Arabidopsis thaliana: one gene and its partner. The protein of the gene in region 2 purifies or fractionates together with the protein of the main gene of each other region. This does not show direct contact. Each region holds a gene or a part of one and is shown on either strand. Other genes may lie near its edges.

Region 1 (5,548 bases), on a different chromosome or scaffold from region 2:
TTAATTCAGATACTTTCTTTGAAGTTTGCATATCATTGTTAAACTTGCCTCAAATTTCAAAAAATTTATTCAGGGTCAATACGAGATTCTCTCACTATCTGGATCCTATATCCGAACTGAACAAGGTGGTAAATCCGGCGGCCTTAGCGTTTCTTTATCTGCTTCAGATGGTCAGATCATCGGTGGAGCGATTGGTAGCCATCTCACAGCTGCTGGCCCGGTTCAGGTACAATTCTGTTGTATCATAGTTTCAACTTGCATATATTGAAACATTGTTATTGTTTCCAACCATCTTACACAAAACTGATCATTTCCTAAGATAGGAGGTCTGGCTTTGATTGATCGCCTTAGATTTGTGCAAATGCAGGTGATTCTTGGTACGTTTCAGCTTGATAGAAAGAAGGATGCCGCCGGGAGTGGTGGGAAAGGGGATGCTTCAAACAGTGGAAGTCGGTTAACTTCTCCTGTAAGCTCTGGACAGTTGCTTGGCATGGGTTTCCCTCCTGGTATGGAATCTACGGGAAGAAATCCAATGAGGGGAAACGACGAGCAACATGATCATCATCATCATCAAGCCGGTTTGGGTGGACCTCATCATTTCATGATGCAAGCGCCGCAGGGGATACACATGACACATTCCAGGCCATCTGAATGGCGCGGAGGAGGCAACAGCGGTCATGATGGCAGAGGCGGTGGCGGGTATGATTTGTCAGGTAACAAAAAAGCTCAAAACTTCTCGAAAGATGTCATCTTTCTTCATCAAAGTTCAAACCCTTAAATCCAAACAAGGACAGATTAGAATTGCTATGGAGATTGGTGGAAATTAGTATTTTGTAGAGTTCTAGAAGATTACAGGCTAAAGCTCTTCTCCGTTGTGGCAATGGCTTGAAACGCTGATGGATGTAATCTTGTGCAGGAAGGATAGGACATGAGTCGTCGGAGAATGGAGATTACGAGCAGCAAATACCGGATTAGCAGAGCTTCCAGGAGAAGTGTGTAGAGTTTAGATCCCAAGTAGAGAAACAGAAGGCGAGCAAAGAATCTGAACTGAGAGAGGACTTATTAGACAGAGACTCGTCTGAAGGGTCTTTAATCATAGAAAGAAGTTGCTGAGTGATTGCTTTTGTTCTTCTTCTTGGTACGGTGTATTATATTAACTCCACAACCTTTTTTTTATACTTTCAGTAACGATTCTCCTTCACTTTCAATTTCATTCCTTTTTTTTATACTCTTTTTCTTTTCTTATAATATTTTTTTTGGTTTTTCTTTCGTTTGTTACTAAAAAAGGAAATGCTCTTTTTGTGAAATATATACACTTCGTTTGTTCGGTTTCTACTTATGTTAATTATTCATAACCTATCTTAATTTAGTAAACGGTTCCTATGAGCCGTTACTTGGACCAAAACATTAACTCATTTGACGAAGAACAAAAAAACTCATTTGAGAATTCTGTTTATTTATTCATATTAATATTGATTTAGTTTAAAATTCTTGGTAACTTTATGTCAAGTTGTCAACTTGTAAATTTCTTGATTGATAATGTTGGAATGCTATAACTTATGTGAAGCCAAAAATTACTGTTAAAAATTCTTATCTTTAATGGGAATTTTTTGTTGACATCTAAGCTTAAAGTGAAACACCACCATTTTTATGGACTTGAGCAACTCTCCGGAAATTGCTTAAGCGAAAAGTCTGCTGCTTTTGTCTTAAAAAAACTTTGAATATTGTTGACTCAAGTCTGAAAATCCGCAACTGAAACTCCCGGAAAAGATCTGCCACCACCGGACCAACTCGGTTTCTTCTCTTTTCTAATCACTTCTTCTGTTTCTCCAACTTCTGTGAAAAAGATGTCAGATTGACTCGATTTCGTTGCTACAAATGGAGATGGGTCTTTCTTATTTATCTTACTAGATTCGAGAGGTGTGTTCTTTCTCTATTCTATTGGCTTGAATCTTAGCTTTCGTTTTTCTCTGATTACCTTCCCCTGGAATTTAAAAAAAAAAAACTCAAAGGCGGTTTCTTTTCTCAGTACTACGAATATCGAGGAACATAGATCTTGATTCCTTTGCCTTCTTCTGGGTATGCGTGTTTGGAGTTGTTTAATCTCATTGGTCTCTACGCGTTGTGGAAATCTATGAATACCAAGTCAGTTATGTTTAATTGGTTCATTGGATCTCAACTTGTAGAGAGCCTCAAGATTGTGGCTGGATTTGATTAGGGTTTTAGATAGAGAGATTAAAGATTGGATCAGAAGATGTTAAGATCTTTAGGTCTTGGATTGCTTCTGTTTGCTCTTCTTGCTCTGGTTTCTGGTGATAACGATTACGTGAGCTGTAATTGTGACGACGAAGGTTTCTTAAGTGTCCACACCATCTTAGAATGTCAAAGAGTGAGTGATCTCTTAATAGCCATTGCCTATTTCTCAATACCTCTCGAGCTTCTCTACTTCATTAGCTTCTCCAATGTTCCTTTCAAATGGGTTCTTGTTCAATTCATTGCCTTTATTGTCCTATGTGGAATGACTCATTTGCTTAACGCTTGGACGTATTACGGACCACACTCTTTCCAGCTTATGCTTTGGCTTACCATCTTTAAATTCCTCACGGCGCTTGTCTCGTGTGCCACGGCTATCACGCTCTTGACTTTGATTCCGTTGCTGTTGAAATGGAAAGTTAGAGAGCTTTACTTGAAGCAGAATGTGTTGGAGCTTAATGAAGAGGTTGGATTGATGAAGAGGCAGAAGGAAATGAGTGTGCAGGTGAGAATGCTTACTCGGGAGATCAGGAAATCGCTCGATAAGCATATGATTCTGCGGACTACTCTCGTTGAGCTATCCAAGATTCTTGATTTACAGAACTCTGCTGTTTGGATGCCTAACGAGAACAGAACCGAGATGCATTTGACTCATGAGCTTAGAGCGAATCCGATGAGGAGTTTCAGGGTAATCCCGATTAATGATCCCGATGTTGTTCAGGTTAGGGAGACCAAAGTAGTGACAATTTTGAGGAAAAACTCTGTTCTTGCGGTTGAGAGCAGTGGTTGTGGCGGTTCGGAAGAGTTTGGACCGGTTGCTGCAATTCGGATGCCGATGCTTCACGGATTGAATTTCAAAGGAGGCACTCCCGAGTTTGTGGATACTCCTTATGCTATAATGGTTTTGGTACTTCCGAGTGCGAATTCACGGGTTTGGACCGATAAAGAGATCGAGATAGCGGAAGTTGTTGCTGATCAAGTAGCGGTTGCTATCTCTCATGCCTCAGTTCTTGAAGAATCACAGTTAATGAGAGAAAAACTCGGTATTCAAAACCGAGCTTTACTTCGAGCAAAACAGAACGCGATGATGGCAAGTCAAGCGAGGAACACTTGCCAGAAAGTGATGAGTCATGGAATGAGGAGACCAATGCACACAATTCTTGGTCTACTCTCCATGTTTCAGTCCGAAAGTATGAGTCTTGACCAGAAAATCATCGTTGATGCGCTCATGAAAACAAGCACAGTTCTCTCAGCTTTAATCAACGACGTGATTGACATTTCGCCTAAAGATAACGGGAAATCTGCATTAGAGGTTAAACGGTTCCAGCTACATTCCTTGATAAGAGAAGCCGCTTGTGTTGCTAAATGCTTAAGCGTTTACAAAGGTTACGGTTTTGAGATGGATGTTCAAACGCGGTTGCCTAATTTAGTAGTAGGAGATGAAAAGAGAACGTTTCAGCTTGTGATGTATATGCTTGGGTATATCTTGGATATGACTGATGGAGGCAAAACCGTTACGTTCCGAGTTATCTGTGAAGGTACTGGAACAAGTCAGGACAAGAGCAAAAGAGAAACTGGAATGTGGAAGTCCCATATGTCCGATGATTCCCTCGGTGTGAAATTTGAAGTTGAGATTAATGAGATTCAGAATCCTCCATTGGATGGTTCGGCTATGGCTATGAGACATATTCCGAACAGAAGATATCATAGCAATGGGATTAAGGAAGGCTTGAGCTTAGGCATGTGTAGAAAACTTGCACAGGTTAGTGATCTCATCATGTCTCTGTTTCTGTTTGGTATATAGAGATTCTAATTATAAACAGTGTATTTGATTTGAAATTTGTTTTGCAGATGATGCAAGGAAACATATGGATATCACCTAAATCGCATGGACAAACACAGAGTATGCAATTAGTTCTGAGGTTTCAGACAAGACCATCGATTAGGAGATCAATCTTAGCAGGAAATGCTCCAGAGCTTCAACATCCGAATTCAAATTCCATTCTTCGTGGTCTAAGAATCACTCTAGCAGACGATGATGATGTCAACAGAACCGTGACTAAGAGACTTCTTGAGAAACTCGGCTGCGAAGTAACTGCTGTCTCGTCTGGATTTGAGTGTTTGAATGCGTTGTCAAATGTGGAAATGTCGTATAGAGTTGTGATTTTGGATCTGCAGATGCCGGAGATGGATGGTTTCGAAGTAGCAATGAAGATAAGGAAGTTTTGTGGACATCATTGGCCATTGATTATAGCTTTGACTGCTAGTACTGAAGATCATGTTAGGGAAAGATGTTTGCAAATGGGGATGAATGGTATGATCCAGAAACCGGTTCTTTTGCATGTTATGGCTTCTGAGCTTAGACGGGCTTTGCAGACCGCGAGCGAGTGATTCGAGCTCAGAGAAGGAAGCAGATATCAATGAATCTTGAAAAGCAAAAATCTTGAAACGAAGAAAAGCAGAGTGAGGATTCTTTGAAGATGTGAAGCATAGAGACACCTCTCTGGGGAAATGTTTTTGTTGTTGTTGTTGTCTCGGTTCTACAGTGATGAGAATTGAGTCAGTTTTCTCTATTTAGCCTAGTTTGGAGATTGGTTGGTTCGAAACTATTTATACGTAATGATTTCGCATTTTTAGCGAAAAAATAACATAAGTTTATTAGATTTAATAATAATTAATTTTATAATTTTGTCTTGAGTAAATTCTCTCTGAATATTTATACAATTCTTTTTTTGCATCTCATTATTAAATTCATCATATTTTGTCAAAATTCATCGCTTGTATTCTCTAATCTATTGCTCTAACTTTTTATTCTTTGTTTACTATTTTTTGACATTTTTTATTTAGTTTTACTATTCAGACTGAATGTTTCAAGCATTGTATATTTTGGACATTTCTTTGTCAACCAAAAAGAAATAATATTGTATCAAATCAAATGAAATTTATTAATTATTTATTTTTTGTCAATGTAATTTAGTTAGTATTTTATCAAATGTATTTTTTGTTTGTTTTTTGATATAAACAAAAAGTCTATTTAAAAATACTTTTTTTGACGGCAAAAACTTTATTTGACAGCAAAAACGTTTTTTTCTTAAAGACTAAAGTTTAGACCAGACCACCACACCAAACGTTTGATTGCTAAATGTTAGTATCTATACGAACACCAAAGTTAATGTTATTTAATGCTTTGTGTAGTCTTAAGAACGAACATCACGTAACGCTATAAATTATGTTCGACATATCGATGTTCGAATTTTTTAAAATGTACTTATTTGGATTGGATATTAACAAATAC
Region 2 (7,567 bases):
ACTGTAGTCAGATAATTGAAAAAAATCTGGGGAATAGAGAGGCGGTGGAAATGGGTGGGTCAGTTCCCGCCACCGTGGATTTATCTTTTTCGTCATCATGTTCCATTGATTCATCAGTTTAGAAGAAATTTGGAAACTTTAGTGACAAATAATTGTACAACCGACATTGAAATTGAAAGTTGTTTCCTTGCAGCTTCACTTAGCTCTCTCTCTCTGTGATTTGGTGAAGGAGAGAAAGTGGTGACGATGGTGGGTCCCACGTCATCTTGAGATTTTTGAAAGGAGGAGTGATTTAGCGCGTTTGCCAGGTCAGCTTTCTAATTTGGAACTGGGCCCTCACAAATCACTGATTCGCTTTTCGTGTTTCCTTTTTCAGAATTTAATATTGTATAATTTTGATTTACGCAATCCTATTGGTTACCGATCCATCAAACGATTAATTCGGAAGACAGGTAAAGTCGTTTTCAAGTGTGGGAACTTACTTAGACGCGAAGGCAAAAATAGTTGACTATGTATCTAGATATTTTCAGTCCCAATGCGTTTTTAACGATTTGGGATTATATTCATCTGTATTAGAGTCTCCGAAAGTTACAGTCTTATTTCATTTCTGTTGGTTTATAGTCCAGACTAATCGCACAGTGAACAAATGTAAATCCAATGAATCATATTGAGTTTGCAAAACCCTTTGACAGCATTTACCAGCTGCTCTTTTTTACCTTCGCTTAGTAACTAATTTAGCGGTATAAATGTACAGCAATGTAATTAAATATAGCTTTCAGTGCATTGCTACAAAGACATAACAACAAAATATTGCTTACCCTTTGGGACTAGATAGATAGATTATATCCCTCACATTGTTTCCATTACTACATTTTTTTTTCCTCCCTGTGACAATAGTCATGTACATTTTAACAATCTGCAACATTAAAAAGGGAACAAAACAGCAGACAAAGATCGCAAAAATAATACATGTATAAAAACCATGGGATTCTGTAGGATATGATTGATAGCTCATGAGGAATGTACCTTTAAAGCTATATCTTAACTAGTGTCTCCCTCCTGGGCAGCAAAAGAATGCTGAGAGTATATGTGCATATCATGATTATAACAACTTTTGAATGGACCGGGGGTATTTTACAAATCCGAGCGGTTGGGCGGAGGAACCGCTGATTTGATCAATGGTCTTAGCAAGTCCATTATAGTTGCAAATGATGGACGCTTCCATGGCTCACTGGTAATGAAACACATACATAAACATGAAGTCTATTCAAGAAGAATTCAAAAAAGAGATAGAAAATCTTAACGTACTTGGTCCAACAACCCTCGATTATGGCTGCAACCTGAGGATTCAGATTACGCGGGATCTCCAGCCGTTTACACTTGAAACCAACCGCAGCTACAACCTATGGAACATTTTTTTGTATGATCATATATAGCATGTTATGAAATGTAGAGTGAGGGACTTCCAAATGCAAAATAATATCATTATTATTTGAGATGTTTAGAGTGGAAAGTACCTGAGCCGGATTTAAGTTACCCCATGGTTGTTGCAATGTAGCAAGCTCCCACAAGATGACCCCGAAGCTGTACACATCTGACTTTTCATTAGACGGCTCATCTCGCAGGACTTCTGGTGCCATCCACTCGGGCTGATATATCAAAGTCAGTAATTATTTAGCTTCCATTGGAAATAGGACCTAGAAGAAAGTTACGTTGTTCAGCGTGTTTTAGTTTCAAACAAACTGAACTTACGGTTCCAGCTGCTGACTTCGAGGAAAGAAACGTGCTGGCCTTCAATCGCGAGAGACCAAAATCACAAACCTGAAATTTCAAGACAAATTGAGGAGTTAGAATAATAATGTTCTGATTGTTTTTAAGACGACAGCTTGAGGCTGCTGTATCTTTTAAGTTTCAGCAGATTAACGCCTTTTTGTAATGTCTCCAAACCAATTTAGAATTAAAAATCATAATTTATATATAAGCTTGTCTCACAAGAGGAATAAAATATCAAAATCAAAACATTGGACACAACAATTTCTAATTTAGATTCAAACCTTGACTGTATATTTTTTGTCAACCAATAAGTTTGGAGATTTTAGATCTCTATGCACAATTGGAGGATTGCGATTGTGAAGATAATTCATTCCCTTAGCCTGTGACAGAGAATTGGAAAGAAAGTTCCATGTGAAGAAACACCAAGATCAGGAAGTAATCACCCATACATGTAACATAAGGAATTAAACATACCACATCATAAGCCATACTCAGGCGACGTCTCTCATCTAATTGCTCCCTTGCTCCACTTTTATGCAAAAGTCTGTATAAACTACCTCTGTTTGAAAGAAATCATGGTATTAGAGTCATTATAGGCCAAAATTCTACACTCAGTACATCAAACCTTCCAAATCCAAGTAATTGTACCTTGACAAATATTCTGTCACTATTGACAAATTTGGAGGTTGAGTGACCGCACCCATGAAGAGAACAATGTTAGGGTGGCGAAGGCGTTTCATTATCGCAACCTGACAGCGAATCAAGATCATTGGAGACATTAATACAACAAGTTCATTACCAAAATCAAGAGAAAATTTTATTTGTGCACCTCTCTTAAGAACTCATTAACACGCTCAGCATGGAAGTCTTGCTCCATGAGAATTTTCACAGCAACATCCTGAAATTGATAGAGAATATTACTGCAATAATCAAAATTAGAATTCTTCTAGTGATAGAATTGTAAAATTCAAACAGGAAGACAAATTTATGATATAAAGACACATATACATCTAAAATGGGACACCTTTTGTCCGTGTTTAATTTCTGACAGAACGGAGAGTCACATATACAATAACTTTGCCTTTTATAATACCAAGCAGATCCAAAAGTCACAACCAAATTTTTAGAGCGAAAAAAAATTCAGCTGCGTAAATTCTGACAAAAAAGTTCTTACCGAGCCATGCCACTCAGCACGGTGGACAGTGCCAAAGGAACCTGAAAGAGCAGTCGCTCAAATTAGAGTGGAAGAATTAAAGGCAACAGAGAAGAATGTAATCTCAAAATGGGTGGCACTTTTTCCTTATTTTGTTCGAGAACAGAGTCCAAAGCAAAACCACTTCCTCAAGAATTTCATATTTCTTTGCATTTTTAGACCGAATCATTAATTTTTCCGTAAAATTATTACCTGCTCCAATCTTTTCTTTTATATTAAGATCACACCACGGGATGTCCATATCATCACCATCAAGTCCAAGTTCCCTATTTGCCCTGTTTGGAACTGGCTGACTGATTGGTGGGGCATTCATAGGTGCTGCTTCAATTTGATTTGACGCACGCATCATGTTCTGTGGAGGCATATTAGCACTGGGTGGCAAAGACCCACCACCATTTTCTGCCAATGCGTCATTCTCTCCACCCGGATTATCATATTGCCTATGAAACATTGAGAATCCCATATCATCTACAACCATTCAAACAAGCAGATATAAGAAATTAGAGTCCAGAAGACAAGTCTTGCACATAAATGCACTAGAATTCATAAGCTTGAACAGCAGACTAACAAGTTTAACCTTAAATATCATTAGGCAAAGAACCCACCAACAAACATACACATCAACAGCCAAAAACAACTAAAGTGAAAAGAGACAAGAAAACAAACAATAGAATCATTCTAAGACTACTAACACTTCAGATACTGAGACATGATCAAGAAATACCCTAAATGATAGGAGATTACTCTTTTAGGGGAAATACAAAACGAGATGTAAGCAGCATGCAAAAAGTTAACATATTATTCAGGTTTTTTGTATGGGAATACCTGATGCAGGATCGAAAACAAGATTAAGAGACTGGCTATCGGAGAAATATTGTTTGGCTAGTAACCTAAAATCGACTGCGGGTTCAACTGGCTTTGGTCGTGGAAACCGCAGAGGAGAAGAAATTGAGATAGATGAAGGACCATTTAGCAAGGAATCAGGCTCCCATAAGTGACCTGGCTTTCCTACTAAATCAACCAGGTACTCCCTGAAACCAAAACAAATTTTCCACGTCATCAACCTAATATTCTGCGAAACATTTGGAGCTATAATTGTTTTTCCAGAAACAAAAAGCAAAGAAAATAGGAAAATAAAGGCTCTTTCGCAATCACTTGTATCATACCTATCAAGCCCAAACCTGACAAGGCACGAAGCGGCATCGTCTCTATTACAATATTTACATCCTTTGGCAATTCGACAGGGTAAATCAATTATGTCAGCCAGTACCTGCATGCACCAAATAGAAGATATAAAATACTTTTTTTCTTTGGAACATTCAACTATCAGTAACCTATTTTTTTCTAATCAATAACACCACTTTTCACATTCAACGTTCTTCATATGTATTCCAATAAAAACAAATGGATGAAGCACAATAATTTATATGATCATTTCACAAGATGTCTTAAATGTCATGGGGATAGCATCAAAGTTGGGATCTCACTTTGAAGAGTAAAGCTCGATGTCTGCAGAGTCCAACAGAGAGGCTACCTATGGGAACCACCACTTTAAAGATTTCTTTTAGACCATCAATGCACTCCTTCCACATGGGAACCAACTCATCTTCCCCCATGATAACTGGACCCCTGGGGAAGCAAGAATTAACGAGTACAATGTGAGAAATCACAGGAAGATATAAAAATATAAGTTCAAAGGGATAGTAAGGATTGTATGAGTACAAACCCCATACGATTGCAGATAAGCTTTGCCAGCTGATCAACAACCTCTTTTGTGGTAATGCAGCTACAAGATATGTCGTGGACTCTATTGTGAAGTTCCTTGAAGGCTGGATCACTACGCCTATCAACTATGATCGCTTCAAGCGAAGAATCAACACCAGAATCAACAGCTCTTAATGATTCAATTGAAGGGATGCGACCACTTTCATGCAGGTCGATGCATAAGGTCCAAATATAGGGATCCAGACCATTCATCATATAAAACCCATCAGGAACTTTATCATAGTACGATAAGCAGCCATTAACCTGATGCAGCACACAAAACAATCATACTCTGCAATGTATCTAAACAACATATCTCATTTGCTACTAATAGACTTTTGGTAAGGAGATCTAACTGAAACTTCGGAAACAAGAGGACCATATCTCTATAACCACGATTCAATAATTTTGGGAAACAAAGCTTAACAGGAACAAATACCCAGAAACGATGTGAAACGGTTTCGGCTGAACTTGGCGAAGTCCGTAAAGCAGACTCGTCCGGTACAGGATCCAGAAAGTTCGGATCGTCGGCACAAGTAGCCTCCGACGAAAGCCTTAACGCCAATGCAAGCTGCAGCTGATAACTCTCCTCCGTCTGCTGCGCCCAGCTCTTCCCAGATGAAGACCCTCCAGCGGAGTCCGCCGCCATCTGTATCCTCAAATCTCCTCCACCACCACCAAATCCAAGCCTAAACCCATCATCTTGAGGAAATCCAACAGATTCGATCTCGTTAGCCGCCGCAGAAAGCGTAGGCATGTAATAATCCCCAGACAAAGAGCTCTCACCGAAACTACTCCCACTGGATTGCCTTTGCAACCCTAGAGACGAAGCATACATATTATTCCCAACCCGATTCGGTTGATTATTCAACCTATGATCACCACCACCACCACCGCTAGGATCCCAATCAAATCCGCCTCTCTCCGCCTTAGCTTTCCCGGTGTTCCCGCTGTTATGGTTGCTCCTGTTTTCGCTCGACAAGGAATCATAGTGAGGCGGAGGAGCTCCGGTGACGGAAACTGACACCTGATCGTCAGAAAATTGACTAAGCAAAGTGTAATTAGATCTTCTACCGGGCATTTCCATGGAAAAGAGAGTTATCGCGATCTAGATGAGAGAGTTTCCCGATCATATAAACATCAAACCCTAGGAAACCGCCATTGTTGAAGAAGTTTGGCGAGCTAGCTAGCCACTTGTTTCTCTCTCTAGTTTTTCATTTTTTTTTTGTACTTTTTAAAAAAGTCTCTCTCTCTCTCTCTCTCTCTCTCTCTCTCTAATGGAATTGGATTTTTTTTTTGTTTTTGCGTTATCATAGGAAATAAACTTACTCGGTGCGTTTCTGTTGATAATTTCGTTATATTCCTCTTTTGTCCTCCTTTTTATGGAACTTTGACATTTTTTTTATTTTTTGTCAAAACAATTCTCCAATTTAGTTTGTTTTTTAGTGTATTATTATTTGTCTAATTTTTGTATTCGACTATGATATCTATTCATATGTTTTGTGCTAATTTAATCGCTAATAAAACTGTTTAAACAATTAATTTGGTATTTCATATTTTGGTGATAAGCAACTGAAATTGGAAGATAAAAAGTAGTATCGTAGTGAAAGTAGAAAACGCAAAGCTAAAAGAGGAACATACACAGTGTAAAATACTAAACCATCTTGCCTATCAAATCCAAATACTATCAAATTTGATCTTTTACACCAATCTGAATCCGTAACATTGGATCCAAGTTTCGTATACCTAAACATGAAATTTTCATTCGGCTCTACGTAGTCTAAAAAACTCGACATAAAATAAATAAAAAGCCTTTATAACGTCCACAATATTTAGAATAGAAAGTGAGAGAATGGACTATAATAAAATAATTGGAGTCGAGGGGGATGTATTCGTGTATGCGAAAATGGATGGGCTCTTCTGTCTTTATATTCCTTAATTTGTCTATTCAAACACATTCGTATTTCTGGTCTTCGGCCTGCGACTTCTATACCATGCATGCATCTTATCTCTCTCTTTTTTTTTTTTTTTCGTTTTCTTTTCTACTTCTCCATTTTTTTTTAATTTGGTTATTTTTATTGCCTTTATGTTTTTTGTGTATTATATATAAATGAACTAATAATACTTCATTATGTTTCGTGTTATTATAAGTGAATTTTTCACAACCATTACAAAAAATTATCTTTTGCTTAAAAGTTAACTTTGGATTATAGTACTTCATAAAAATGTAAAGATTTTGATCAAGTACTTATCAACGCAGCTTGGGTAGTCAATGTGCTGTCATTAATTTATCTATCAAGCTATCCACGCAGCTTGGACAATAAATAAATATTTAAATTCTATTGCATATTTATATCATTTGATCCGCTAAGGTTCATCGAATACTGCCAGGTTCATTGCACTCAACGCATTTTTGTCATTAACTTACGTTTTTTAGCCATGGCTGCTGAGAATATAAAGTTGCTACTATGTAAAGAAACTTTTGGGTTTGATCATATTTGTGCACAAAAAAAAATAAAAAAAAAATCATACTTTTAAAACTAGTATTAATCCAAAAAGTGCTAAAACATAACAAAAAAAAATTCTCCTTAACTACTATACAAACATATATTTTTTTATGCGCATAAATTAAAACTTAACAATTGATTATGATCACATATGTTGAAAAAAATCGAAATTATGTGTGATATGTAAAACCGGAGTATAATATTGGTAAACTATAAATTTAAGAGCATTGGAAAATGTTCATGATTCATGCCGAGAACTCTTCTAAATCTAAACACGAGAGGCCCCGAATAGATCTAACTAAAATGAATT

The links.
Region 1: the proteins of CTR1 (region 2) and EIN4 purify together in Arabidopsis thaliana (affinity purification with western blotting, with the first as the bait; one study listed by BioGRID). This does not show direct contact.

The regions. Positions count from the first base shown.
Region 1 is NC_003074.8:1,234,672-1,240,219, reverse strand, and holds EIN4 (Signal transduction histidine kinase, hybrid-type, ethylene sensor), read left to right. Parts: upstream 1-1,603; 5' UTR 1,604-2,254; coding exon 2,255-4,015; intron 4,016-4,104; coding exon 4,105-4,644; 3' UTR 4,645-5,011; downstream 5,012-5,548. Other genes in the region: AT3G04590 (AT hook motif DNA-binding family protein), read left to right, coding at 74-226, 368-713, 917-975.
Region 2 is NC_003076.8:973,824-981,390, forward strand, and holds CTR1 (Protein kinase superfamily protein), read right to left. Parts: upstream 6,027-7,567; 5' UTR 5,838-6,026; coding exon 5,190-5,837; intron 5,015-5,189; coding exon 4,713-5,014; intron 4,616-4,712; coding exon 4,474-4,615; intron 4,257-4,473; coding exon 4,153-4,256; intron 4,018-4,152; coding exon 3,812-4,017; intron 3,455-3,811; coding exon 3,179-3,454; intron 2,989-3,178; coding exon 2,948-2,988; intron 2,672-2,947; coding exon 2,603-2,671; intron 2,523-2,602; coding exon 2,422-2,522; intron 2,333-2,421; coding exon 2,248-2,332; intron 2,154-2,247; coding exon 2,055-2,153; intron 1,822-2,054; coding exon 1,753-1,821; intron 1,650-1,752; coding exon 1,518-1,649; intron 1,404-1,517; coding exon 1,309-1,403; intron 1,232-1,308; coding exon 1,135-1,231; 3' UTR 1,027-1,134; exon of another isoform or gene 886-1,026; 3' UTR 537-885; downstream 1-536. UniProt on the Arabidopsis thaliana protein: Acts as a negative regulator in the ethylene response pathway. Phosphorylates the cytosolic C-terminal domain of EIN2, preventing the signaling in the absence of ethylene.